Linked DNA regions of Sus scrofa. The protein of the gene in region 1 binds, or shares a complex with, the protein of each later gene. Links are inferred from orthologs where the notes say so. Each region holds a gene or a part of one and is shown in the gene's direction. Other genes may lie near its edges. The genes, in order: INTS7, INTS4, INTS2, INTS12, SEM1, INTS6 and INTS9.

Region 1 (3,500 bases):
AGGCCGCCGCTGCGCCCGCATCCTCAGCTGTGCCACGCCTCCAGCTGCAGCAGGACCCTGGGCATCCATCGCCCCGGCCTCACAGGGCACTCAGCCCCCTCCCTCGCCTCCCCCGGTCACCACTGGAGGAAAAGTGGCTGGGGTTCTCCCCACACCACTGAACAGCTCGTGCGGAAGGGCCTGTTTGGAACTACATGGCTCGCCTCGGGTTGTAGCTCATTGCGTTTATCTTCTCTCCGGAGCTGTTGTGTGGCTAAAGAACTTCAGGCGTGTGTTACAGCAAAGCAGCTCGGCATGGTTTCTCGGGAGAAATAGGAGACCGAGTCCCTCGGAGTTACAGAGCGGGAGGCACGATCGCTAAAACGTATCCAAGGTTTGGGCTTCTGTTGGAGGTGCTGCCGCAGCTGGTTCAAGGGTAAGACCCTCATCCTGGGCCCTCCCGGCTTTCTTTCAGGGTAGTCACGACATGGCCGGAGAGCTGTACCAGAGCCTGCTGACGCAGGTCGCCTCGGAGCATCTCCACTTCTGGCTCAACAGTCTGAAGGAGTTCTCACACGCGGAGCAGTGCCTCACCGGCCTGCAGGAGGACGACGCTAGTTCAGCACTTTCTTGCATTGCTGAGTCCCTGAAATTCTACCACAAAGGGATTGCTTCCTTAACAGTGAGTCTTCCTCATTTTCCTTGGGCGGTGATGGCTTGTGTGAGGATGGTGTCCCTTTGCTTCCGGGGGCTGTCCCGTTTTCACCTTGAAAACCCTGCTAATATGTATGTATTTGGAAGTATTAAAATAAGACGTAGGACGTGACGGTAGGTCATGAACCCCTGCCCGACTTTTTAACGTTCATGGGTTGATGCACATTTATCATTTGGTTTTTTATCAAGTGTCCGATAGACACGTGGAGGGGAATTGCACAGTCCAGGCAGAAAGAATTAGCGGAGGTAGGATGCTCCCTTTCCAGACTGCTGTTGGGAAGACCGCAGCCTGGGTCGCTGCTGCCGCCAGACCCAGCCCTTCCCATCACTGGCGGCTACTCACTAAGAAACTAGAGCTTCTTGCTTTGTAAATAAAAAGCAAGTGATCACTTTTTACCCCTTGGTGATACCCTCTACTCCAAATGAACAACCAGCTGTATTTTCCATTTTTTTCTACCAAGAAAAAGAGATCAGATCCTTAACATTTTCTTGAAACTAGTTATAATCCTAAATAAGAGCCTGTTCCCTAAAATGAGCCTTTTCTCTGTTAATGTGAGGACTTTTTCCCCTTAAGAGTAAAGAGTTTAATCACCATTGAACACGTTTAAAGCATTGTCACACAACCTTAAAAATTGTATATATTTAGATAGGGCCGTAAAACTTTGGGTACCTGTGTATCTACCTTTTTCACTTATCACATAATGTAAACTGTCTTTTTACATTAGATAAATGTAATGTATCCAGAAAGAAACGCTTCAGAGTAGAACAGAGAATAAACAGACGTCACCGAAGAGACAGACTGTTCAGATGGCTGTGGATACACATCTTTTGAAGAATGATTTTGGAGGGAGCTGGGATTGATTGATGGCTGTTTTGGAACAGAAATATAGGGCATTCCCAGTGTGGCTCAGTGGGTTACAAACCCGACTAGTATCCATCCGGACGCAGGTTTGATCCCTGGCCTTGCTCAGTGGGTTAAGGATCCGGTGTTGCCATGCGCTGTGGTGTAGGTCACAGATGCAGCTCAGATCCCGAGTTGCTGTGGCTGTGCCGTAGACCAGCAGCTGGAGCTCCGATTCGACCCCTGGCCTGGGAATTGGGAACCTCCATGTGCCATAGGTGCAGCCCTAAAAAGGAAAAAGACAAAACAAAAAACAGGAATGTAGGAATGGCTCCTCACCGTTTTAAGGGGTAACTTTAACTACATGATTCTCTCGTCATGATTATCAAAACTCGTAAGAGTTTGTTGTTGCCTATTTCAAGCTAATAAATAGCTCAGAAAGTCAAAGAATAGTTGTTGGCGCCAATCAGTAGAATTATTCTATTTTCTAATTTATGTGGAACAAAAAATTGTTAATGGTTTAACAGTAAGTGGTGCAGTAAGTGGTAAGAACTGAGAGAGAGATTCACAGAACAGTGAGGCAGATGCAATTAATATTAAGAAAAACTCCATTGCACATTTAATGGTCATTTAATGGTTTGTGTGCTCTCAGTATTTAAGGAGGCTTGGCAGTAGGTAAGGGCTGGATTCTGATGTAGGAGGACCGCAGTGGGCTGTCAGAAGGCCCTTGTGTCCGTCTCCGTTCAGCCGTTCGCGCCATGTGACCTAAGGCAGGTTCTTGGGCCTCAGATCACCTCTTAAAACGGAGTTGCTTTATTCAGCAGACTGTGAGCACTGGCTATGTGCCAAACCCTGCTTTGAGGAGTCAAAAAAGAGGTCCAGAGATGACGATGTGCTTGAGAAGAATCCGGGGGGGGAGGCAGTCTGATCCTTACTGTTGTTTGGAACCTCTCTCAGTTCTGAGTATACCGCACTCTCGGGATTTCCGCAAGATTTTTAAAAAATCTCTCTGACAAGTGAGGACCTGATGGTGACTTTCCCCTTTTTAATCGAGATGGTGTGAGCATGACTCACCCTCTCACTCCTTGACACCTGAATGAGCTGACCCGAGACTCAGCTGTGAGGACTGTATTTTTACCTACTTCAGCCAAGCCAAACAGAAGTTAAAGATTCCATGCTTAGAGGGACTCTATAGCAGTGTTGGGTGTCTGAATTTCCCCATACAGTGATTAATGCTGGTGTTATCTTGCTTCTTAGGAATATAAATTATAAAAAGCGTTCATATTAGCTTTCTGGGCTATGTAAAAAATTACTATAAATTTAGTGGCTTAAAACAACACCCATTTACTATTTTACGGTTTCCAAGGGCCCAGGTGTGACTTCGCTGGGGCCTCTGCTCATGTTGTCACGAAGTTACTGTCAAGGTGTTGTTCAGAGCCAGTTTTGTGTGAAGCCTGGACTCAAGAGTCCTCTTTTGAACTCATGCAGTTGTTGGCAGGATTCAGTTCCTCACAGCTGTAAGACCTGAGGAAACTTTAAGGCCAGCAGGGGAATCTCTTACCTTCAAGGCCCTCTTTTAAAGAACTCAACTGATGAAGCGAGATCTACCCAGAATAATCTCCTTTTTGATTAGTATAAAGTCAGCTCGTTAGGGACCTAAATTAGCTTCTCAAAAATAGATTGCCTTTGGAGTTTCCATTGTGGCTCAGTGGGTTAAAAGCCTGACTAGTATCCGTGAGGATTCGGGTTCACTCATGAACCAATCCCTGGCCTCACTTAGTGGGTTAAAGGATCTGGCATAGTCTTTTTTTTTTTAATTTTTTTTGTCTTTTGTTGTTGTTGTTGTTGTTGTTGCTATTTCTTGGGCCGCCCCCACTTCATATGGAGGTTCCCAGGCTAAGGGTCCAATCGGAGCTGCAGCCACCGGCCTACGCCAGAGCCACAGCAACGCGGGATCCGAGCCGCG
Region 2 (3,500 bases), about 120 Mb from region 1:
ATACATGCTGTTACACATTCCCCAGGACATATTAAAGTGGCCTGAAAAAAAAAAGGTAAACACTTTTGGAAGCATATTATGTTAATGTATTTTTCTGGGTAGTTGGAACATTGTGTTATTTAAGAAGTATGTAAGTGACAGAGACTGGCCCCAAATGTAGAATCAATATTAATTAGAATTTTTTTCCCCCGACATAAAAGAGGTCTTGAGGTAAGGAGTCTGGCGCTGGTATAGCAGCTCTACATTATTGTTGGTAATCCAGGCCCCTTCTGTTTTTCTCTCCTGCCATTTTCAGTTGTCCAGAATTGTTGCTAGAACTCCAGTCATCAGGTCTGGGTTCTAATCAGGAAGTCAGAGGATATTTGGAATAAAATCAGTATTCTATTAGTGAAGACAAGGGAACAGTGGATATTAGGTAGGCAAATAGCAGGCTTTGCCATAGGGATACATGCAAAGATTGGAAGGTATGTCTTTTAATTTCTGATTTTCCCTCTGTTATAAAATTAATATACATAGAAACAATTTTAAAATAGAAAGAAGAAATTTCATATTTAGTACCCAGAATCATACTATTCACAATAATTGACAGTCAAGTTTCTTTTGTCCTGCCCTCGTCATACAGAAGTTCCTTGCCCAGGGATCGAACCCCAGGCACAATAGTGACAAACCATGTTCTTCACTGCTTGGCCACCAGGGAACTCCTACAGTTAATATTTTGACATGTTTCCTTCTCCCTTTTTAAAAGCTTGGGTTTGGAATTTGTGGGTTTCTTTTCCTTTTTCTTTTGTCTTTTTTCCTTTTCTAGGGCCGCTTCCCTGGTATATGGAAGTTCCCAGGCTAGGGGTCTAATCAGAGCTGTTGCTGTTGGCCTACACCACAGCCACAGCAACGCTGGATCCTTAACCCACTGAGCAAGGCCAGGGATTGAACTCACAACTTCATAGTTCCTAGTTGGATTCATTAACCACTGTGCCATGATGAGTAACTCCTCTTTTCCTTTTTCATCTGTATCTGTGGCATATGAAGTCCCAGGCCAGGAACTGAATCTCAGCTATACCTGTGACCTCTGCCACAGATAGCAATGCTGGGTTGTTAACCCACTCTACGCCACAGTGGGAACTCTTGTTATTTTTTTAATTAAAAATTTTTTTTCTTTTTATGGCCTTACCTGTGGCATATGGAAGTTCCCAGGCTAGCGTTCAAATTGGAGCTGCAGCTGCTGGCCTATACCACAGCCACAGCAATGCCAGATCTGAGCCGAGTCAGCAACCTACACTGCAGCTCATGGCAGTGCTGAATCCTTAAACCATTGAGCAAGGCCAGGGATGGAACCCGAATCCTCATGGATACTAGTTTGGTTCTTAACCCTCTGTGCCACAATGGAGCTCCTTTTTATTTTTTTTAACATTTCATTTTATTAGGCAAATATTTGATGATAGATAGCTGCTGTCATATTCTCTACATATAGAGCCTGCTTTTTTCACTATGACAAAATGCTTATGATATAATATTAAAGGTCTTTAATAGGAGCTCCCCTGTGGCTCAGTGGGTTAAGGATCCAGCATTGTCATGGCAGCAGCTGGGGTCACTTCTGTGGCATGGAATTGATCCCTGGCCCAGAAACTTCCACATGTTATTGGTGTGACCAAAAAAAGAGTCTTTTATAAATACAATTTTTAATGGTTATGTAATACTCCATTAAGTAGATGAAACAGAAGTTGTGTAGTCATTCTCCTGGTTTTGGACATTTAGGTTGTTTGTGATTATTTGCTATCACAAATGATTCTGTGGTTTGATTTTGAGATGTGGAATTATTATACATTCCCAAGACTCTTCCTGTCTGGTATCAAACTATTATTCAGAGGGATTGTGCCAGTATGTACTTAAGTTGGCAATATATCAAAAGTTTCTATTTGATTATTTATATTCTCAGCAGCAGGCATTATTTTAAAAAACCTTTTTGAGGTCCTGTTGTGGCTTAGTAAGTTAAGGACCTGACATTGTCTCTGGAGGATGTAGGTTCGATCCCTGGCGTAGCTCAGTGGGTTAAGGATCCGACTGGGATCTGATGTTGCCATGGCTGCAGCATCGGCCTTAGCTGCAGCTCAGATTTGACCCCTAGTCCAGGAACTTCCACGTACCGCAGGTGTGGCCGTTAAAAAACAACAACCGCAGACCTTTTTTTTTGATAATTGGATGAGTAATTGGAGTAATTTGGAGCGGGGTAATGTATTTCTTGAATTTGTGTTTCTTTATTAGAAACGGTAGTTATTTAATGGGAATTGAGAGGTCGGGAAGTAGAGGCACCAAATTCTGTCCAGGCTCAACCTTTTATGTCTCCAGGTTTACTTAACCCACTTATCCATCAGACATTGCAGTTTTGGTTCTTATTTTCAATGCTGCTAAAACATGTCCAACAATGCCAGCATTGTTCTCCGATCATACCTTCAGGCACTATGCTTACCTCCGAGACAGTCTTTCTCATCTTGTTCCTGCCTTGAGGGTATGTTGAAAACATCTTTTGTCTTTTTTGTTTTGTTTTGTTCTATTTTGTTTTGATTTTTAGTCCTTTGTGGTTGTTAAATAGTAGAAAGCAAGCTGTATAGTCTCTGAAAACATATTTATTCATTCTTGGGCTCTCCTATTGTTTTGCACTTTTGCTTCTCTGTATCCTTTACCTTTTTTTTCCCCCTTTTTTTAGGGCCACACGTGCAGCATATGGAAGTTCCCAGGCTAGGGGTTGAATCAGAGCTTCAGCTGCTGGCGTACACCACAGCCACAGCAAGGCCAGATCTGGAGCCTCATCTTCGACCTACAGCACAGCTCAATGCAACGCAGGATTCTTAACCCACTGAGCGGGACCAGGGATCGAACCTGAATCCACATGATTTGTTACCACTGAGCCACAACTGGAACTCCTTCCTTACCTTTTAAGGCAATTCATTTTTAATATCCTGGGTTATTAATTATGTTGGATTAGGCAAAAAGAAGGAATCTGGAACAATATATTTCAAATCAAAGATCAAATCATGTTATATTACGTGAAGCTATGATTCTCAAATTTATTTTTTAATAATAATATTTATTTATTTATTTAGGCCCTGCCCACAGCATTCAGAAGTTCCTGGTCCAGGGCCTGAACCCAAGCCACAGCAGTGACAATGCTGCATTCTTAACTGCTAGGCCATCAGGGAACTCCAAAATTTATTTTATATTGCTTTTTTAGGGCCAAACCTACAGCATATGGAGTTCCCAGGCTTGGGGTCAAATCAGAGCTGCAGTTGCTGGCCACAGCCACGTGGGATCTGAAGTCTGTCTGCTACCTACACCACCTACTTATGCCAACACCAGATCCTTAACCCACTGAGCAAGGTCAGGGATCTAACCTTAAGGATACTGGTTGGATTCGTTTCCGCTGCACCACAATGGGAACTCCCAAAATTTTTATTATTTTTAAAGCTTAGAGATACAGAAAGAAAAAAATTTGTAGTGAATTATAA
Region 3 (3,500 bases), on another chromosome or scaffold:
CCGCAACCTCATGGTTCCTAGTTGGATTCGTTAACCACTGCGCCACGACGGGAACTCCCAATTCAACTATTTTTATTGAGTGCTCGCTATATGTCAGGCACAGTACGTCAGACCTTGCTGAGTAATAGATGACTGGATGTTATCCCTGTCTGAAGAGCTGTGGAGGTGATGGACTTGTAAACTCCTAAGTGCAGCAGTCCTGGGAGTTAAATGTTTTAATAAAATAGTCATTTCCTTGTCATTTAAGGAATTGGGGTTAATAGCAGAGATGTTGTATAAACCCAAGCTCTTGTGTCTCCAAAATGTAAGCACTTTGTACATATGACTCCACTAGTCATTATGTATTTGAAAACATCATTTATATGAGATTTAACATTTCAGATTGTCATTATTTAAGTGTATCCTGTACAGATAGGCCAAATTAGGGTGAGTAGAGTATTTGTCAAGTGAACCAGTGAATTTAGAGTTTGCTTGATTGATTAAAATGAGATTCTGTAGTTATGACAGACTCCTCAAATGGGTCAGTTTCAAGTGGAGAGCTTTGTCTGAGCTTCTTTTTGACTTCGTAAGTGTTCCATGCTTTCTCCCTTTTGTGGTCCTTATTTCTTGCAGAGAAAAGAGAGACCAGTAGTTCTGTCCTTTGGCAAATGAGGAGGCAGCTTCTTCTGGAGTTGATGGGCATTCTTCCCACAGTAAGAAGTACCCGCATTGTGGAAGAAGCTGATGTGGAGATGGAGCCCAATGTGTCTGTGTATTCGGGGCTGAAAGAAGAGCATGTTGTGAAAGCCAGTGCGCTCTTACGTCTGTACTGTGCTTTGATGGGGATCGCTGGACTAAAGTATTCAATAATTTGATATTTTACTTTTTTATCATTTTATTTTCTCGTTTCTAATCCCCAGAAAGTGAGCCATAGGCTTTTTATTCAGATGTAGGTTTTCTGTTTGGCTTACGTAGTGAGCTGGCCTATGTCAAGAATGAATTCCTGGAGTTCCCTTGTTGTGCAGTAGGTTAGGGATCCAGCATTGTCACTGCTGTGGCTCGGGTTGCTGATGTGGCCTGGGTTCGATCCCTGGCTCGGGAACTTCATCATGCTGCAGGTGCAGCCAAAAAGAAAAAAAAAAAAAAAAAAAAAAGAATGAATTCCCAAGGCAAAACATTCCCAGTTGGGATGTATCCATCTATTTCGGTCTGATTATAAATCGAATTATGTAAGGATGGGAGGGGCCAGAGCAGTGTAAGAAATGTATGACTGCACCACAGCTTGATGTGACTACAGTGAATAATCTGTGAGTGATCCTTTAACCTAGTGTAGGCAGCTAGTTGAAGTAAGCGTATCCTATTTCTTTTACAGCTGAGATCATAAATTATTTACAGATGATATGTGATTATTAAACACAAGATTTCTTAGTCACTGTATTACATCCTTTTGAGTGATATCCTCAACTGTTGTAAGTAGAGTCCTTGGTTTGCATGTTTCCAATACCATGGAAACACATTATTTACCACACTTTAGTTAAATAACACCGCTCCCTCGACAGCTCATGTATCAGTTACCGTGAAACCTTAACCAAATTATTGTCTCAAGAGCAAACTTTGCCGAGAGCTTTTCAAGCCCCACATCGCTGTATAAACAAAAGACGCACATGGTGATCAGTGACCAGTCACATCATTTCTTCTAAAATCTTTTGGTGACTGCTCACCATCCAACTATTACTATCAGTTCATGAGCAGACAACACAGTGGATAGTTGTATTGCCTCCTTGTCTCTCAATGAATAAACCCATGTGATAGTTGGCAAAACTAGAATTAAAAGAGGGAATTGGCCAATAAAAATGAAAGTGTAGCAAAGAAACAAAAAATGGGTTAACGCTGGAGTGACGTATGAACCAAAACGTAAATAGAAGAAATAGCTGACTGTGAGAATGGTCTGACTGCTTCCACTTGAGAGACCCTAAATGGGTGGCCAGATGAATTTAGTGAAGGCGAACTTGAGGATAGTCATTGTGACAGAAAGAATGAAGACCCAGGGACCAGTGGTGGCAACAATCTTCACTTTAAAGTAGCTCTCAGGTATTTCATGACTGAAATATCAGCACATATTTATAATATATAAGCATATATATATATATATATATATTTATTTATTTATTTATTTTTTTGGTCTTTTTGCCTTTTCCAGGGCTGCTCCTGCGGCATATGGAGGTTCCCAGGCTAGGGGTCTAATCAGAGCTGTAGCTGCCAGTCTACACCAGAGCCACAGCAACACCGGATACGAGCCACATCTACAACCTACACCACAGCTCACGGCAATGCCATGATCCTTAACCCACTGAGCAAGGCCAGGGATTGAACCCGCAACCTCATGGTTCCAGGTCAGATTCGTTAACCACTGTGCCACGATGGGAACTCCCTAAGCATATGTTTATGATATAATACAAAGCATAAGATGTTGGTAGCTGATCCAAGCTTAGAGGGGGGTTATGATAAGTCACCAAGGCTTAGAGAAGATGCTCATTCCATATTGTAAGTTATATGACGAGAAGGTGACAAGGGCCATTCAAACTACTCTTGATAAATCTTTCACAAAGAAAACATTGTAATTCCCACTGTTTCTAAAATATTCAATTATACAATGCTATATACACTAGTTTTACTATTTAAAAATATTTCCCTGTGCATTATAACCAACAGAGTTTTTAATGTCGACAAAAACTTAACATCTTACAATATTACAGATTTTATAAATTTTATAAAGCTCAAGATCTGTCTAAAAGGTTAAACTGTTGAAAAGTCCCTTCTTTTACTCAACTGAAAAAAGTAAAGCCTGGTAATGTGTTCCTTTTTTAGACCAACTGAGGAAGAAGCGGAGCAATTACTGCAGTTGATGACAAGCCGACCTCCTGCTACACCGGCTGGGGTTCGCTTTGTTTCACTTTCCTTTTGTATGCTACTGGCCTTTTCTACACTTGTCAGGTATCTAACTATATAATTGTTCTATTTTCTAAAGGTCTGCTTTTGTGTATTTATTAAAGCACAGCCTTAATAAGGAGCTCACTACAAAAATGGTGTAAGGGAGTTCCTGTTGTGGCTCAGCAGTAATGGACCCGACTAGTAACCGTGAGAACTCGGGTTTGATCCCTGGCCACACTCAGTGGGTTAAGAATCCGGCATTGCCATGGACTGTGGTGTAGATCACAGATGTGGCCTGGATCCTAACGTGGCTGTGGCTGTGGTGTGGGCTGGCAGCTGCAGCTCCGATTAGACCCCTAGCCTGGGAACTTCCATGTGCCATGGGAGTGGCCCTAAAAAGACCAATGAACAAACCCCCCAAACAAAACAAAAAACCCCCCAAATGGTGGAGGTTTAAGTTCTCTAGTGGTTCATCAGGTTAAAGACCTGGCATGGCCACTGCTGTGGCTCGGTTTGCTGCTGTGGATGGATTTGATCCTTGGCCTGAGAACTTTTGCATGCTGTGGGTGTGGCCCCCCCCAAAATAGTGT
Region 4 (4,297 bases), on another chromosome or scaffold:
CAATTGAATTTATAGCAAAGAATTTATTTTCATAATATTTAAATGGCCATGGTTAATGTTTATATTGTCACACCACTAGTCTTGCCAGCTTTTGCATTTTTCTCCTTTAAACACTGTTCCTAGATAAGCTTAGAAAAATGTAAACATACTCTACCTTTCTTAAATAATTTAGCACAAGATCTATTATTAAATGTTGGCAAGAACTTATGACAAGGAATGGGCTCCCGGCATTAAGAGATCATGACCTTAAGAGTATCGGCGGAGTTCCCATTGCCGCGCAGTGTAAATGAATCTGACTAGTATCCATAGGATATGGATTCAATCAGTGGGTCGCAGATCCCACCTTGCCCTGAGTGGTGGTGTAGGTCACAGACTTTGCTCGGATCCTGAGTTGTTGTGGATTAGGCTGGTGGCTATAGCTCAGATTCCACCCCTAGCCTAGGAACTTCCATATGCCTAGACTGTGGCCCTAAAAAGCAAAAAAAAAAAAAAAAAAAAAAAAAAAAGGGGGGGAATAAGGGGAAAAGGAGTTCCCGATGTGGCTCAGCAGTAACGAATCCGACTAGTGTGCATGAGGACACTAGTCTGATCCCTGGCCTCAGTGGGTTAAGGATCCCATTGCTAGGGCTGTGGTGTAGGTCGGCAGCTGTAGCTTCCATTGGACCCCTAGTCTGGGAATTACCATATGCCAAGGGTGTGTCCCTAAAAAGCCGAAACAAACAAACAGTCACCTAATCCCAAACCAAGTAGAATTGGTGTGGGAAGTACGTGTATTAGTAAACGTTTCTGAAGTAAAAGCAATTTTCATGCAAGTTAAACCCAAACTTTCTATAGGAGTTTAAACCAAAGTGAAACGCTACTTTGATGGTAGTGCAGAAACAAATCGCCCAAAATGTAGGGGGTTCTTTGGAGCAACTGTTAGGTAGTATTCACATACTACTGCTTTCTCCAATGAGGAAGGGCTGGAATAGAAAACTCAGTAGAAAAAAAGATAAAAGTTAAAAGAGTGACCCAAGAGGTCTTAACTACACTTAGCAGCAAATGGCGAACGACCGAACAGACTGCTGCAACTGGAAGCTGCTCCTTTCCCCTTCAGTAAATGAAGCCATGGGGACTGGCCCTGGAAAAATTGCGAAGGGGCCCGGACCCCTCCACTCTTCCCGCCCTTCTTCGCATCGTCAACCCTGCCGGTCCCTGGATGAAAGAGGAGTCTTTGCAGGGTCTTGAGGACTGAGGAGCCGGCGGCGCGAGCGCCCTCCTTACCTGGTCGCAGAGGCGCGGCCAGGCAGGGAGGGTGCGTGAACGTGTCAACACTGGCCGCCAGCGCATTCCCGCCCCGCCCGAGCCGGGTTTCCCGAGGTCGCTTTAGGAAGTCTTCGCCTGCAGACCGCTCGCAGCTCCACGCGGCAGGGAAAAAAACAACAGAAGCAGCGCCGGGGAAACAGCAGCACCTGCCGTCATTCATAATCCGGCGCACCGGAAGAAGGTGGTTACGTCACTTCCTCCCGTCGCACAGTGAAAACGTTCCCCAGTCGACCCTGCTGCGGGAACTTTTGTTTTTCCGCTCTCCCGGCGGGCTAGTGCTGGGACCTGTTCGTCAGGCCACCGGGAACGGACGGAGCAGCGGGGCGGAGCGGTGAGTTGCGACGAGCCCCTCGGTTCCCAGCCGCCTCTGGGAGGCTTGAGACCTCCGCGAGGGGTGAAGTGGGACGGTAGTACTGTGCGGTCTTAGTTTCCTCGCCTCTTGTGAGGAAACTCATAATTTGCAGGCGGTCGAATGCCCAGTCTGACCATTCTCCCCTTACAGTTGGGGTCGTGCTTCCCCCGAAGGTTTTGCAGGCTGGGGTCAGCGGACCGAGGTTACAGCCCCAGGGATTGGGACCTTGGAACCCTGTCTCGGACCTTCCTCGGAAGGTTTTGGCGACTTCTCTGTGCAGCTCCCTCTGCCTCCTCTCATCTTCATTGGGCTCACTTGTCAAGACCCTTCCCGATGTTAGGCCTTCGGTGGGTCTTGCCTTTGATCAGAAGATTGATATTCCTTTTCTGAGTGTCGTTTTTCAGATTTTCTGTCGGTTGGTTGGTTTGGAATTAGGTTCTTTCCGCCTGTTGTCGTTTCCGGATGTGTGCCTAAGGTCATCAGTGTAATCCAGGGCCAAGATCCAGGAGGAATAAAAAGGGCAGTATCTTTAAAAGGGTATTTATTAGGATGAGTTGCATGAGTTTGCAAAGGGCAAAGCTTTCTAGAGCCGTTATTGAGGTGGCAACCCCAATATTGCACTCTGCCTGAATAGGTTCAGCTTCCTTCATCTCGTGCACGTGAAACTCCAACTTTGGACTTCTTTTAATGTTAGCTTGTAAGATAGATAATGGGATCTAGAGGAAAGCATATATTTATATATGAATACCCAATTTAGGTTGGAGAAATCACAGAAGCCCTAGAAAGTGACATTTAAAAAAACCCTAGTGCATTCACTCAACAAATATTTTTGAGAATATGTTAAATTCCAAGCACTAGGTATGTAACAGTTCTGAATAAAAGAATTCCCTTCTTGCATGGAGTTTACAGTCTAGTGGGGTTAATGAATTTAAATCACATGGAGGATTGGGTAGAGAGTAATGCAGATAGGAACATTGTACAAATCCCATGTCATGAAAAAGGTGTTTTCTGCTTTGTATTGTTTTTGCTTTTTTGATATTTGAGGGCTTGAGGTGGGATTGGGGGTGGGAGGAGTCTGGAGGGTGGTAATAGCTTTGAGTTTCTTTTTTGTTGCTTATTGCAGAGGGACTTTGGAAATGATTAGAATTGTGTAGAAGGAAAAAAACTATTATCCTTTGATCTCTAATAATTCTTTGGCCATTATTTTTTGGTACTTTACAAAATACAAACGTGATGGTAAAAAGATAGCCTTTCCCCTTAAAGTAGTCAGAGATTTATAGAGAATATAACAAATGTGCAAAAAAAAGAAAACAGAAAAAAAAAGACTGTGGTTCAAGGTAGAAAGTTCCAGTACCTTGAGAATGCACTCCAAGATTTCCCAGGGGAGGGCAAGATTATTATTATTATTATTTATTTATTTATTTATTTATTTATTTTTGTCTTTTGTCCTTTTAGGTCCGCACCAGCAGCTTATGGAGGTTCCCAGACTAGGGGTCCAGTCGGAGCTGTAGCTGCAGGCCTCCACCACAGCCACAGCAACGCCAGATCCAAGCTGCGTCTGCGACCTATACCACAGCTCACAGCAACGCATGATCCTTAACCCACTGAGCGAGGTCAGGGATTGAACCCGCAACCTCATGGTTCCAGTTCAAATTCGTTTCCACTGCGCCACGACGGGAATTCAGCAAGATTATTAGTATTATTGGGTGAGTAGGGTCCTCATCAGTACCCTCATGGGTCTTGATAGGATATGGAAATATGAAAATGGGTAAAAAAGCTCTCCAGACAGAAAAAAAATTGAGAAGTAGCAAGTCCAGCTAATGATTCTGGTCTATGGGAGATCTGGAGATGAAGAATTAGTTTTTGTGCCAGTTATTGAGTCTTTTTTTTGGGGGGGTGCACACCTGAGGCATATGGAGGATCCCAGGCTTGGGGTCGAATCGAAGTTACAGCTGCCACATTATGCCACAGCCATAGCCACACAGGATCCAAACTGAGTCTGCAACCTACACCACAGCTCACAGCAACACCGGATCCTTAACCTGCTGAGCGAGGCCAGGGATCAATCCTACAACCTCATGGTTACTAGTCAGATTAGTTTCCACTGAGCCAGAATGGGATCTCCTACTGAATCTTTTTAAATGCTAGGCCAAGAAGTTAGGCTTTATTTTAAAGGGAATGGGAAGTCTTAATTTTTGAGGAAGAAAGGAAGCAGGGAGGGAGGAAGAAGAAGGAAGGGAGGGAGGAAGGGAGATAGGGAGATGTGTTAACAGGAACATTAATATGGCAACAGTATTGAAGTCCAAGACAATCACTAGATTATTGCTACAGTGCAAAAAGCTGATAAAGACCTGAATCTGAGTAGTAGCAGTGGAAATGGAAAATAGCAACAAATGTGAGAAATGTTGAAATATAGGAATTGGGGAGGACTCAGGCAAAAATGTAGGCCTCAGGCCTGATTAACGGAGAGTATGTCATTTATTGAAAGAAAGTGCGGAACAAGGAACTTTGGGGTAGGAGATATTCATAATCTCAATTTCAGTCTTTATTGAATTTGAGAAACCATTGGGACAATTAGGTAGACATGTCTACTAAGCAATTAGAAATATGGGGTTTGAGCTTAAGAGAGATCTGAGTGGG
Region 5 (2,109 bases), on another chromosome or scaffold:
ATGGACACTTAGGTTGCTTCCATGTCTTGGCTATTGTAAACAGGGCTGCAATGAATGTTAGGGTGTATATATCTTTTCAACTCACGATTGTCTCTGGATAGATGCCCAGGAATGGGATTGCTGGATCATATCAATATTGTTCTCCACAGTGATTACAACCACTTACATTCCCACCAACAGCATAGGAGAGTTCCTTTTTCTCCTTACCCTCGCCAGCATTTATTATTGATAAACATTTTGACGATGGCCATTCTGGCTGGTGTGAGGTGATACTTCGTTATAGTTTTGATTTGAATTTCTCTAATAACTAGTAGAGACTAAAAAATATGCTACTAAACAAGCAATGATTCACTGAAGAAATCAAAGAGGAAATAAAAAATACCTACAGACAAATGACAACAAAGACATAATGATCCAAAACCTATAGGACAAATGACAACAAAGACATAATGATCCAAAACCTATAGGACACAGCAAAAGCAGTTCTCAGAGGGAAGTTTATAGCAATACAATCTCACTTCAGGAAACAAGAAAAATCCCAAATAAATAACATGACCTTACAAATAAGGAACTAGAGAAAGAAAAACAAATGAAACCCAGAGTTAGTAGAAGGAAGGAAATCATAAAAGCTCAGAGCAGAAATAAATCAGATAAGTATGAAGAAAACAAAAGATCAATAAAACAAAAGCTGGTTCTTTGAAGAGATAAACAAAACTGATAAACCTTTAGCCAGACTCATCAAGAAAAAAAGGGAGAGGGCTCAAATCAACAAAATTCGAAATTAAAAAGGAGAAATTACAACTGACCACACATAAATACAAAGGGTCATAAGAGACTACTACGAGCAACTACATGCCAATAAAATGGACAACCTAGAAGAAATGGACAAATTCTTAGAAAGGTACAACCTTCCAAAGCTGAACCAGAAGAAATAGAAAATATGAATAGACCAATCACAGGTTCTGAAATTGAAACCAAGATTTTAAAACTTCCAAAAAACAAAAGTCCAGGACCAAATGGCTTCATAGGTAAATTCTATCAAACATTTAGAGAAGAGTTAACACCTATCCTTCTGAAACTTTGCAGAGGAAGGAATACTCCCAAGCTCATTCTATGAGGCCACCATCACCCCAATACCAAAACCAGACCAAAAAAACAACAAAAAAGAAAATTAAAAACCAGTATCCCAACTTTTCCACTGGCCTGAGAGGTTTGGGGAACTGAGGGTCGCGATGTCAGAGAAAAAACAGCCGGTAGACTTGGGTCTGCTGGAGGAGGACGACGAGTTCGAGGAGTTTCCTGCAGAAGACTGGGCTGGTTTAGATGAAGATGAAGATGCACATGTCTGGGAGGATAATTGGGATGATGACAATGTAGAGGATGACTTCTCCAATCAGTTAGGAGCTGAATTAGAGAAACATGGTTATAAGATGGAGACCTCATAGCATCCAGAAGAAATGTTGAAGCAACCTAAATTTGAACTGTTTACTAAATTCTGGAACAGAGAACCCAGGGGGGACACTTAAAAAAATGTTTATTTCATTACCTGCTTGGACTTATTTTTGTTTTTGTAACACAAAAAATAAATGTTTGATATAATAAAAAAAAACCAGTATCATTGATGAATATAGACATAAAAATCTTCAACAAAATATTAGTAACATTATTTATATTATAAATATAATATTTGTATTATATTAGCTCTCATAAAAGCTTTTTACTTCCTTATTTCATTTCCACAATGGTTCTGTAAGGATTTACTTCCCCATTTTATAGATGGGGAACTAAAAATCAGGGATTTTAATGACTAAAGTGGCAGAAGACTTTATAATGGTTTTTAATTCCTAACTCCCTGCACAGCATCTTCCTTCCACCAGATGGTGATGAAATAGTGCCCATGCATGTTTTTAACCCCTACTTTCTTCCTAACAGCTGCCCCAGAAACATTTTCTGAATAAATCATTTGCACATTAATGTTCCTTTGGGGTCAATTCCGATTTCCCTTTCACCCTTCCCTTCCTTCAATCCATTCTCCATGGCTGGAGTGATATTTTTAAAATCTTACTTAGATCACATCACTCCCTACTTAAAACCATCAATGGATCCCCA
Region 6 (3,500 bases), on another chromosome or scaffold:
TCAGAGGAGAAGCAGGTTGAGGAGGGGCTCAGGGATTATATCAAATTATAAAAACATGCCTAATGGACATGTTGGTGGAAGTACTGAGGATAAAAAGCATTTTACAAGAATTACAAGACTTTTTTCAATTAAATAAAAATTTAACTTAGCCTCTATAAGGAGTGTTGTCTAACTTAGAAATGTTCCTTTTGTCTCTTACCCATTTTATTAAAATCATCATCTAGTATACTCTGGGGGGAAAGTAGATTTTGTTTTGTTTTTGTTTTGTTTTCTTTCACTTTACTGCCTTCAGACTCATCATATTTAGATTTTTTTGTGGACCCTACGTAACCACAAGTGAGCCAGCTCCTTGACTTAAAAGTGTGTGCTTTTCTCACAGATATAATTAGGGATCCCAGAAATTTTATCCTTCAATACAAAGTGCTATACATTTCCAGGAGGTGAGTTTTGACATAAAGAATAAGAGAAACATAACATAGGTTATAGGTTCACTTTGCAAAGATAGAAAAATTTGCTTTAACTTTGAAAAGAACTGATGGGTTTTTATTATTTTCTAAGTGTTTCAAGTTTATATACTTTTTCTCCAATTTTTATAAAATGTCTTTGCTAATAATTTTATTTCATGCAAAGGTCATAACTTATTTACTTGTATTTTTCTAATCAATTAGTTAATGATACAAGTTAGGGGAGTAGAGAGAGGATTGCCACATTTTATACTTAAAAACTTTTTTTTTTTAATGACATCTTGGGAATATCCTTAAATATCATGAAATAAGATACTGAACCTTTATAAAATTTTCTAAATACTCTGTGATTTAAGACAATCAGCCTTTTAATGTGTTGTTTTATGTGTATGTTTAAATTTACTCAGAAAAAAAGATTTTAATTTGACAATTCATTCATATAAGTATGATTCCATATAGACTTCCTATTTTAAATACTGATTTTGAATTAGCATTATGATTTTCAGGGAACTAGGTATATCCAGATGAAAGTTTCATATACCTTGTAAGGGTTTGAATCTTGGCTGTACTACTGAATACTAACTTGGATACCTTAGTTAATTTCTCTGTGCTTTAGTTTTCTCTTTGGAAAATGGAAAAAGTAACCCATACAATTGTTGGTAGGATAAAATAATACAATAATGTTATTGCGCCGCCGCACAAGCTTGGTCGGTAGAACATGAGACTCTTAATTATGTGATTAGAATAGTGCCAGGTACATAGACACTCAATAATTGGTGGATATTTTTATAATTATGGCTCTCGTTGTGTACAGGTAAGCCATCTGTTATGTGATACTTGTTTTTCTAAGTAAAGCTTACTCTGAGGATTTGAATCATACTACTGCCTAATACTCTCTTTCCTGAGTAGTCTTTAGCAAATCACATGTTTAGTGTAAATTGAATATACCGTGTTTGGTAATAATTTGTTGAATTTGTTAAAGATAGGATTTTGCCATTTTGAATTTATTACAGATAACATTATGTTTGATTAAAGATTTTTGGTGTTATTTTTCAGCACTGGTCTAGAGCAGCACACAAATAGAAATATGATATGTTACATATATAATTATAAATTATATAGTCACTAAAAAAGAACAGGTAAAAATCATTTTCAATAATATTTAAATCAGTATGTACAAAATATTTCAACATGAAAATGATATTTAAAAATGAGGTATTTTACATTATTTTCATCTTGCATCTACAAAATCCAGTGTATAACTGTATATCTCAATTTGGACTAGCTACGATTCAAGTTCTTAGTACCCATGTGTGGCCAGTGGCTGCAGTATGGGATAGCATAGGTCTAGATATATTTATTGAAAATCTGGTTTAAGAAATCTTTGCACTTGTGTCTTTTCCTTTTCTTTCCTTTTCTTTTTTTTCTTAAGGTTGTACCTGCAGCATATGGAAGTTCTCAGGCTAGGGGTTGAATTGGAGCTGCAGCTACCAGCCTATGCCACAGCCACAGCCACAGCCACAGCTGTGTGGGAACCAAGCCGCATCTGCTACCTATAGCACAACTCATGGCAACACCAGATCCTTAACCTACTGAGCAAGGCCAGGGATCGAACCCACATCTTCATAGACACTAGTCAGGTTTGTTACTGCTGGGATACAGCAGCAACTCCCATTTATATTTTTTCCTTTTTCTTTTTTTTCTTCTTAGGGCCACATCTGAGGCATATGGAGGTTCCCAGGAAGTTCCCATAGAGGTGCAGTGGAAACAAATCCAACTAGGAAACATGAGGTTGTAGGTTCGATCCCTGGCCTCGCTCAATGGGTTAAGGATCCGCCGTTGCCATGAGCTGTGGTGTGGGTTACAGCCACGGCTTGGATCTGGCGTGGCTGTGGCTGTGGCATAGGCTGGCAGCTGTAGCTCTGATTAGACCCCTAGCCTGGGAACCTCCATATGCCACGAGTACGGCCCTAAAAAAAGCAAAAAAAAAAAAAAAAAAAAAAAAAAAAATATATATATATATATATGTTAAAATATACAAGAGGGAAATTCACTTAAGATGGGTAGTCAGAAAACCATATGCTACTATCTGTATATTAAAGTGCAAGTACTTAAAATATGCAGTGCCTGCTAGCAGATCAATTAATAATTATTGAGTATCTGCTGTGTCCTTAGTATTACTCTTTAGTGATAATACTTCTTTTAAGCAGGAGTAAAATTTTTTGGGGGTTATCAGATGCTGTGTATGTACAATAAAGTTAAATTGTATTGGAAAACAGTTGGAGATAGTTTTTTATATTTATATATTTTAAAATCACATCTCACACAATATATTATATGTAGTGATTTTTTTTCATTGTGGTTTGTTCAGACCAAGATTTCTATTTTCTTTATACCTTTAATTAGAAGAAAAAATTTACATGATTGATTGATGACAACTATTTTTGTTTTGTTATTCTTCCATTAGATGATGAAAAAGTCAACTTTATCATTGAATTTTTGTAAATCAGTATTGTCAAAAATCCTACTGGGGTTCTTCTTTGCTAAAAGTAGTAATTTCTGCAACTAACAAGTTCTCTTTATTCTTTTTATTTCAGGCCGCTCATACTCTGTATGTTCTCCAAGGATGCTTAATCAGTGTCTGGAGTCCTTGGTGCAGAAAGTACAAAGTGGGGTAGTAATAAACTTTGAAAAAGCAGGACCAGATCCTTCCCCTGTAGAAGGTATTGTACTTTTTTAAACAGACATTTTAAACTTACTTTATCAAGTATTCAACTAGAACGGAAAAATTACTAGGATTTGGCTTTAACGTTGACAAGGCCAAATTATAAGATAACAGAATGACTGTCAGTAAAGAGGGAAGATTAAATAGGGAAGTCAAGATAATATGTTAGTCGTTCAGTAGCATCACCTTTTTAAACTGGTTGTTCATAACCCTAAGAATTTGTAAGAGCCAAAAACCTTTTTAAAGCATTTACAGATTAGCCTATTTCCTTTTTTAGTTTTGCAACAATGATTCTCTAGTATATACACTTC
Region 7 (3,991 bases), on another chromosome or scaffold:
TTTCCTTTCCCACCTAGCTACCGACTTCGGGATGCAAAAAGCCATCCACACAGCATCTCACGTCTACAGTGCTCCTACCCTGAGTTTGGGGTTGGGATGTGTCCCTGGGAGGATGGGAGAAGGAGTGTGAGCGGGCGATGGGACACAAACGACTTGCTCCCCACGGCCACCCCGCGCCGCGGCGCCAGCCCAGAGGTCCAGGACCCGCACCTCGCGCACGCTTCTCCGCCCAGGCCCAGCTAAAAGCTCCGACTCCGTCTCCCGAACTTCCTCTCTAGAGACATTTATTCAAGGCTAACACATCACCCAAGTACACGTCACCCAGTTTCAAATACAGTTCTGCACCCCAAACAAACCCACACCTCAAATTCCCCTCACAGTTTCCCAAACTCCAAACAAGAGACCCCACCTCCAGGATTCAAACCTTCCGCCCACCAAGGAGGTAACCAGGAGGAAAGAGTTAGGGAGCAGCCGACGCCTTTCCATTTTCGCCCCCCACAAACTGCCCCACCCCAGACCCTGCGTCCGGGTCACCCCCCTCGGAAGCCCCACGCTTCCTCCCTCCTCTCAGTCGGGCCGCCTAAGAGACCCACCCCCGGCCCACTCACTTTCTCTCCCAAACCCCTCCAAAAAGAAAAAAGAAAAAAAGTGAAGAGAAAGAAGTGAAGAAAGAGACTTGAGGGAGCCCGCCTTCCAAATCGCTCGACTCACCTCAGAATCCTTGCTGAGTTCTCTCCGCCCGGCACAGCCCCCTCCCCAACGTCCCAGTACGAAGGGCTGAGGTAGGGAGGAGGGGAAAGCGGGAGGGGGAGGGGTGTCTTCCGCGTGGGGCGCCCGTCGGGAGGGGACTGGGGAGGGGTTGAGGCCGGCGCAGGAAGAGGAGAAGGGGGAGGGGAGGCCCCTATCTCCCAGTCTCCCCCTGAAAACCTCCCTTGTCTCAATCACATCAGACTGACTGTCTTTGTCTGGCTGACAACCGCCATATTGATATCAACAGCCCCGCTCCCACCTGCTGCCGCCGGGCGGCCCTGGGAGTTGTAGTTTCTTACTCCCTCGAGTAAAAGCGCGGGACTCGGCGCCCGGAGGCCCTGGGGGACTACAGCTCCCGGCAAGACCTGCGCCATTCGCCTTCCCACAGGGAGGAGGGGAAAGGGGCGCCAGAGTCGTAGGGACTACACATCCCAGAATACCGTGGGCTCTGGGCCCAGACAGGGGACATGATATCATGCTGGGATGGAGAGGGAGAATGATTTGGCGGCGGGGAAGAATTTGAGCCGAAGGAAGGAGGAAAGAGAGAAAAAGGAAAGATGACCACAGTTCCCATGATGCAAGAAGACAGGACTACATTTCCCATGATGCATCCGGAAGGGGGCGTAGGGAAGAAAGACTGCATGTCCCGCGATGCTCGAGGCTGGCGGGTGGCGGAGATTGAACCGGAAGAGGCTTTCTGGTTCTGAGGAGTCCAGTGACTGATATTGAACAACCTAAAGTCCAATATGAAATTGGTGAGTCTCTGCTCCTAGGTCAGAGGGCAAAGGTGATGCCATATCCTTTTGGACTTCGTCGTTTCCAACTTGTGGTGGGAACCGTCGCGGAAGAGGGGTGGCAGTTAGAGACTTAGAAAGTGGGGTGAACCAAGGAAAGCTGCTCCTTGTGGTTGAGTTTGAATCCCACCTCCCACCCCCGACCCCCAGATCTTATTTATCCCTTGGCGGCTCCTGTGGTTAGATAAGAGATTGACTCTGTCACCTTACTTCACACACGAACTGAGGTTGGGCTTTATGAACTAGGTTTGACTGATTTCACAGCTGCCATGTGAGTTTTATAATTGGTTAACTTCTTTCCACGCGATTGGCGTTTGATTAGCGTTTCTTACAGTTTTTGAAAAGGCTTTGGTTACATATGAGCAGAGTTTAGAAAATATTGGGCAGAGTAATCACTTAAGTTTTCTGTTATAGACTCCTAACTGTCTTTGATATTCAGAGAAGGACGAGATCATGGTATGGTATGATCGTGGAAGATTTAAGTTTTAAACCCTGTATAATATGGTTTAAGTGTCAAGGCATTCAGTCTAGGGCTGTAGGGACTGTATGAGCCAAGATTAGATGGAGCCTGCCAGGATACCTGGAAAATTCTCTGCATCACAAAACTCAAAACACTTGGCTTGTAGGGAGGCTGCTCAGGCCTTTATTTTGAGCCACGTTACTCTGTGTGCACACAGATTTAGCTACTTTAACTAGTTTATTCCAACTGTATGGTATTAGTAGAAAAGCAGGTGTGAGATGCTGTTTCTCAACCTCTTAAAATTCGCATTCCTGCAGCCAAGTGTTGTAAATCTTTACTTTCCTGTAATTTTAGTAGAAAAATAAAATGTGCATTTTCTTAATTGTTTGAGCATGCTTTTCCAAAGTGTGCAGCCCAGGCTGGTGCCTGCACACACACGCTAAGGGCCTGTGCTCTTCAGAGTTTCAGCTGTTTTCTGAGGAGTCAGAGAAATAGAAGTAGATTCAACACTAAAGCTGTTTAGGTAAGGAGAAGGACACAGATCAGTAAACCTTGAGGATATCAATTTGCTTCTGGGTCAGTTTTCAAGACATGTAAAAATGCCAAATTGAAAGTCACCACCCATATCCAAAAGAAGTGTGCAATGAAGAAGATACAAAAGTAATAAATGATATTTCACTGTTTTCATGGTAAATGGAAGCATGTTCAGTGTTTAGGGATTTAGAGGATGATGGGGGTTGGGGGAGTGGGAGACAGCTCTATGGAAAGGAGACTCTTTAACAGTTAAGCAAGGTGAGTAGGCTAGGGCTTTCCTTGAAGAGGGTTCAGCTTTAGAAGCAAAAGAGCTTTGCACCTGAGTGCTTGAAATAAAGACCATGTTTTCTTGATAAAGGATAAATCACATTTGGTATGTATGCTCGGTGCAGAGGCAGGAAAATGGAAAACAGTTCTTTTCCATAATAGCTCATTTGCTGAGGGTATCAGAGAGTTAGGGTTTAGTTTACATATGCTTTGGTTTGCTTATGAAATCCTCCTGCTTACCTCATTTAAAGAAGATAAAAAAGGGGGAAAGAGAAACTATTTTTCTTTCAAGAATCATAAAATGCCTTAGAGGAATAAGGTAGTTGATGATTCTGTGAGAATATCTATTGACACAGCAAAGTGTTTCAAGAACACTGACACTCAGTAAGCAGGCTTCTTTTTTGTATCATGCCTCCCATAGAGTTGGAATAAATTTTCCTAGGGCCTAAAAATTTTTAACTTTGTGTACTGCTTCCTGAATATGTGATAAACCATGTTTTGTATTTCTATCATGAAACACAGAAATATTTTTTATAGAGTACATTCTTGTTTTGGAGATTATGACTTCCCCAAACACCCTTCCCACGTACAATCTATGACCATATCTTGGTGATTCTGCAGTTCTTAAACTGGTCTGTTTCTCTCCAGTACCACCAATACAGCCTTTGTAGGGGCTCTTTTCACTTGACACTTGAAATTCAACAAAACCTTCTAACTGGTCTCCCACCCTCAAATCCATTCCCTACTCCATGCCCAGAAGTTGTTTTAAATTGCAGTGTTCCTTTAAAACCCTTTGGTAGCTTCCTTTGCCCTTAGGATAGTCTTAAAATTATTTTTTTGTTGTTCTGTTTTAGAGTTTTGTGGTTTTGGGGTTTTTATTTTTTATTTTTGGTTTGGGAGGGGTTTTTTGGCCGCACTTGCGGCATACAGAAGTTCCTAGGCCAGGGATCAGACCCAAGCCACAGCATTGTCAATGCTGGATCCTTAACCTGCTGAGCCACAAGGGAACTCCTTAAAATTCTTGACTTGACTTGCTTGATCCTGTAGATTCTGGCCCTGCTGACTTCTCCAGGCTAATGTCTAGCTCTCCTCTCTTGACCTCCTTGTTCCGTTTGTATTGTATGTCTTTCAGTTCCTTGAAGTCCGCCTGCTCTCTTTTGCCTCTGGGACTTTAAGTGTGTTCCAT

What was found.
Region 2: the proteins of INTS7 (region 1) and INTS4 are in contact, whole or in part, in a cryo-EM structure (PDB 8RC4), measured with the Homo sapiens proteins. The link is inferred for Sus scrofa from reciprocal best matches to the Homo sapiens genes INTS7 and INTS4. Residues at the interface, in NP_056249.1 of Homo sapiens: Lys137, Asn138, His140, His141, Arg144, Gln145, Gly175, His205, His206, Asp207, Ala208, Ser244, Ser245, Leu246, Val247, Lys282, Thr283, Pro284, His285, Thr286, Thr321, Ile322, Lys325, His326, Gly686, Tyr689, Glu704, Gln707, Gln708, Leu711; in NP_291025.3 of Homo sapiens: Glu536, Met539, Asp540, Arg571, His572, Ala574, Tyr575, Asp578, Ser579, Ser610, Phe613, Arg620, Leu624, Leu627, Gly631, Glu634, Leu635, Phe638, Arg641, Asp642, Arg645, Leu646, Glu648, Leu649, Gln650, Lys677, Leu678, Trp679, Asn680, Val681.
Region 3: the proteins of INTS7 (region 1) and INTS2 are in contact, whole or in part, in a cryo-EM structure (PDB 8RC4), measured with the Homo sapiens proteins. The link is inferred for Sus scrofa from reciprocal best matches to the Homo sapiens genes INTS7 and INTS2. Residues at the interface, in NP_056249.1 of Homo sapiens: Leu38, Gly39, Glu40, Cys42, Glu43, Val46, Arg47, Asn77, Phe78, Leu81, Cys82, Leu84, Lys85, Gln88, Gln89, Asn114, Asp115, Pro116, Val117, Ala120, Ile121, Arg124, Val153, Glu156, Val159, Phe160, Ala163, Leu195, Lys196, Pro199; in NP_065799.2 of Homo sapiens: Gln27, Lys28, Val29, Cys48, Arg51, Met52, Cys55, Ala56, Ala58, Asp59, Gln60, Ser61, Trp64, Phe92, His93, Ala186, Glu187, Pro189, Ile194, Val218, Asp220, Ser221, Asn223, Glu224, Ser259, Leu262, Lys263, Arg265, His285, Gly294.
Region 4: INTS7 (region 1) and INTS12 share a complex: the UniProt entries of both Homo sapiens proteins name them as parts of the integrator complex. The link is inferred for Sus scrofa from reciprocal best matches to the Homo sapiens genes INTS7 and INTS12.
Region 5: the proteins of INTS7 (region 1) and SEM1 are in contact, whole or in part, in a cryo-EM structure (PDB 8YJB), measured with the Homo sapiens proteins. The link is inferred for Sus scrofa from reciprocal best matches to the Homo sapiens genes INTS7 and SEM1. Residues at the interface, in NP_056249.1 of Homo sapiens: Lys410, Leu413, Asn414, Val417, Leu448, His451, Cys452, Ala454, Ala455, Met458, Glu488, Val491, Thr495, Leu517, Glu518, Ser521, Asn522, Gly523, Trp524, Val526, Tyr527, Arg528, Arg531, Gln532, Arg535, Ser548, Leu549, Thr551, Gln552, Val553; in NP_006295.1 of Homo sapiens: Ala36, His37, Val38, Trp39, Glu40, Asp41, Asn42, Trp43, Asp44, Val48, Glu49, Asp50, Phe52, Ser53, Gln55, Leu56, Arg57, Glu59, Leu60, Glu61, His63, Gly64, Tyr65, Lys66, Met67.
Region 6: INTS7 (region 1) and INTS6 share a complex: the UniProt entries of both Homo sapiens proteins name them as parts of the integrator complex. The link is inferred for Sus scrofa from reciprocal best matches to the Homo sapiens genes INTS7 and INTS6.
Region 7: INTS7 (region 1) and INTS9 share a complex: the UniProt entries of both Homo sapiens proteins name them as parts of the integrator complex. The link is inferred for Sus scrofa from reciprocal best matches to the Homo sapiens genes INTS7 and INTS9.

What each region holds. Positions count from the first base shown.
Region 1 is NC_010451.4:131,331,030-131,334,529, forward strand, and holds part of INTS7 (integrator complex subunit 7), read left to right. Parts: intron 1-454; coding exon 455-661; intron 662-3,500. UniProt on the Homo sapiens protein: Component of the integrator complex, a multiprotein complex that terminates RNA polymerase II (Pol II) transcription in the promoter-proximal region of genes.
Region 2 is NC_010451.4:12,355,771-12,359,270, reverse strand, and holds part of INTS4 (integrator complex subunit 4), read left to right. Parts: intron 1-2,369; coding exon 2,370-2,503; intron 2,504-3,500. UniProt on the Homo sapiens protein: Component of the integrator complex, a multiprotein complex that terminates RNA polymerase II (Pol II) transcription in the promoter-proximal region of genes.
Region 3 is NC_010454.4:36,447,893-36,451,392, forward strand, and holds part of INTS2 (integrator complex subunit 2), read left to right. Parts: intron 1-614; coding exon 615-838; intron 839-2,847; coding exon 2,848-2,973; intron 2,974-3,500. UniProt on the Homo sapiens protein: Component of the integrator complex, a multiprotein complex that terminates RNA polymerase II (Pol II) transcription in the promoter-proximal region of genes.
Region 4 is NC_010450.4:116,030,367-116,034,663, forward strand, and holds the start of INTS12 (integrator complex subunit 12), read left to right. Parts: upstream 1-1,497; 5' UTR 1,498-1,636; intron 1,637-4,297. Other genes in the region: GSTCD (glutathione S-transferase C-terminal domain-containing protein), read right to left, coding at 1,264-1,465. UniProt on the Homo sapiens protein: Component of the integrator complex, a multiprotein complex that terminates RNA polymerase II (Pol II) transcription in the promoter-proximal region of genes.
Region 5 is NC_010455.5:144,627,769-144,629,877, forward strand, and holds SEM1 (26S proteasome complex subunit SEM1), read left to right. Parts: upstream 1-1,180; 5' UTR 1,181-1,232; coding exon 1,233-1,445; 3' UTR 1,446-1,609; downstream 1,610-2,109. UniProt on the Homo sapiens protein: Component of the 26S proteasome, a multiprotein complex involved in the ATP-dependent degradation of ubiquitinated proteins.
Region 6 is NC_010453.5:16,441,276-16,444,775, forward strand, and holds part of INTS6 (integrator complex subunit 6), read left to right. Parts: intron 1-3,061; coding exon 3,062-3,187; intron 3,188-3,500. UniProt on the Homo sapiens protein: Component of the integrator complex, a multiprotein complex that terminates RNA polymerase II (Pol II) transcription in the promoter-proximal region of genes.
Region 7 is NC_010456.5:12,689,641-12,693,631, reverse strand, and holds the start of INTS9 (integrator complex subunit 9), read left to right. Parts: upstream 1-1,191; 5' UTR 1,192-1,496; coding exon 1,497-1,505; intron 1,506-3,937; exon of another isoform or gene 3,938-3,991. UniProt on the Homo sapiens protein: Component of the integrator complex, a multiprotein complex that terminates RNA polymerase II (Pol II) transcription in the promoter-proximal region of genes.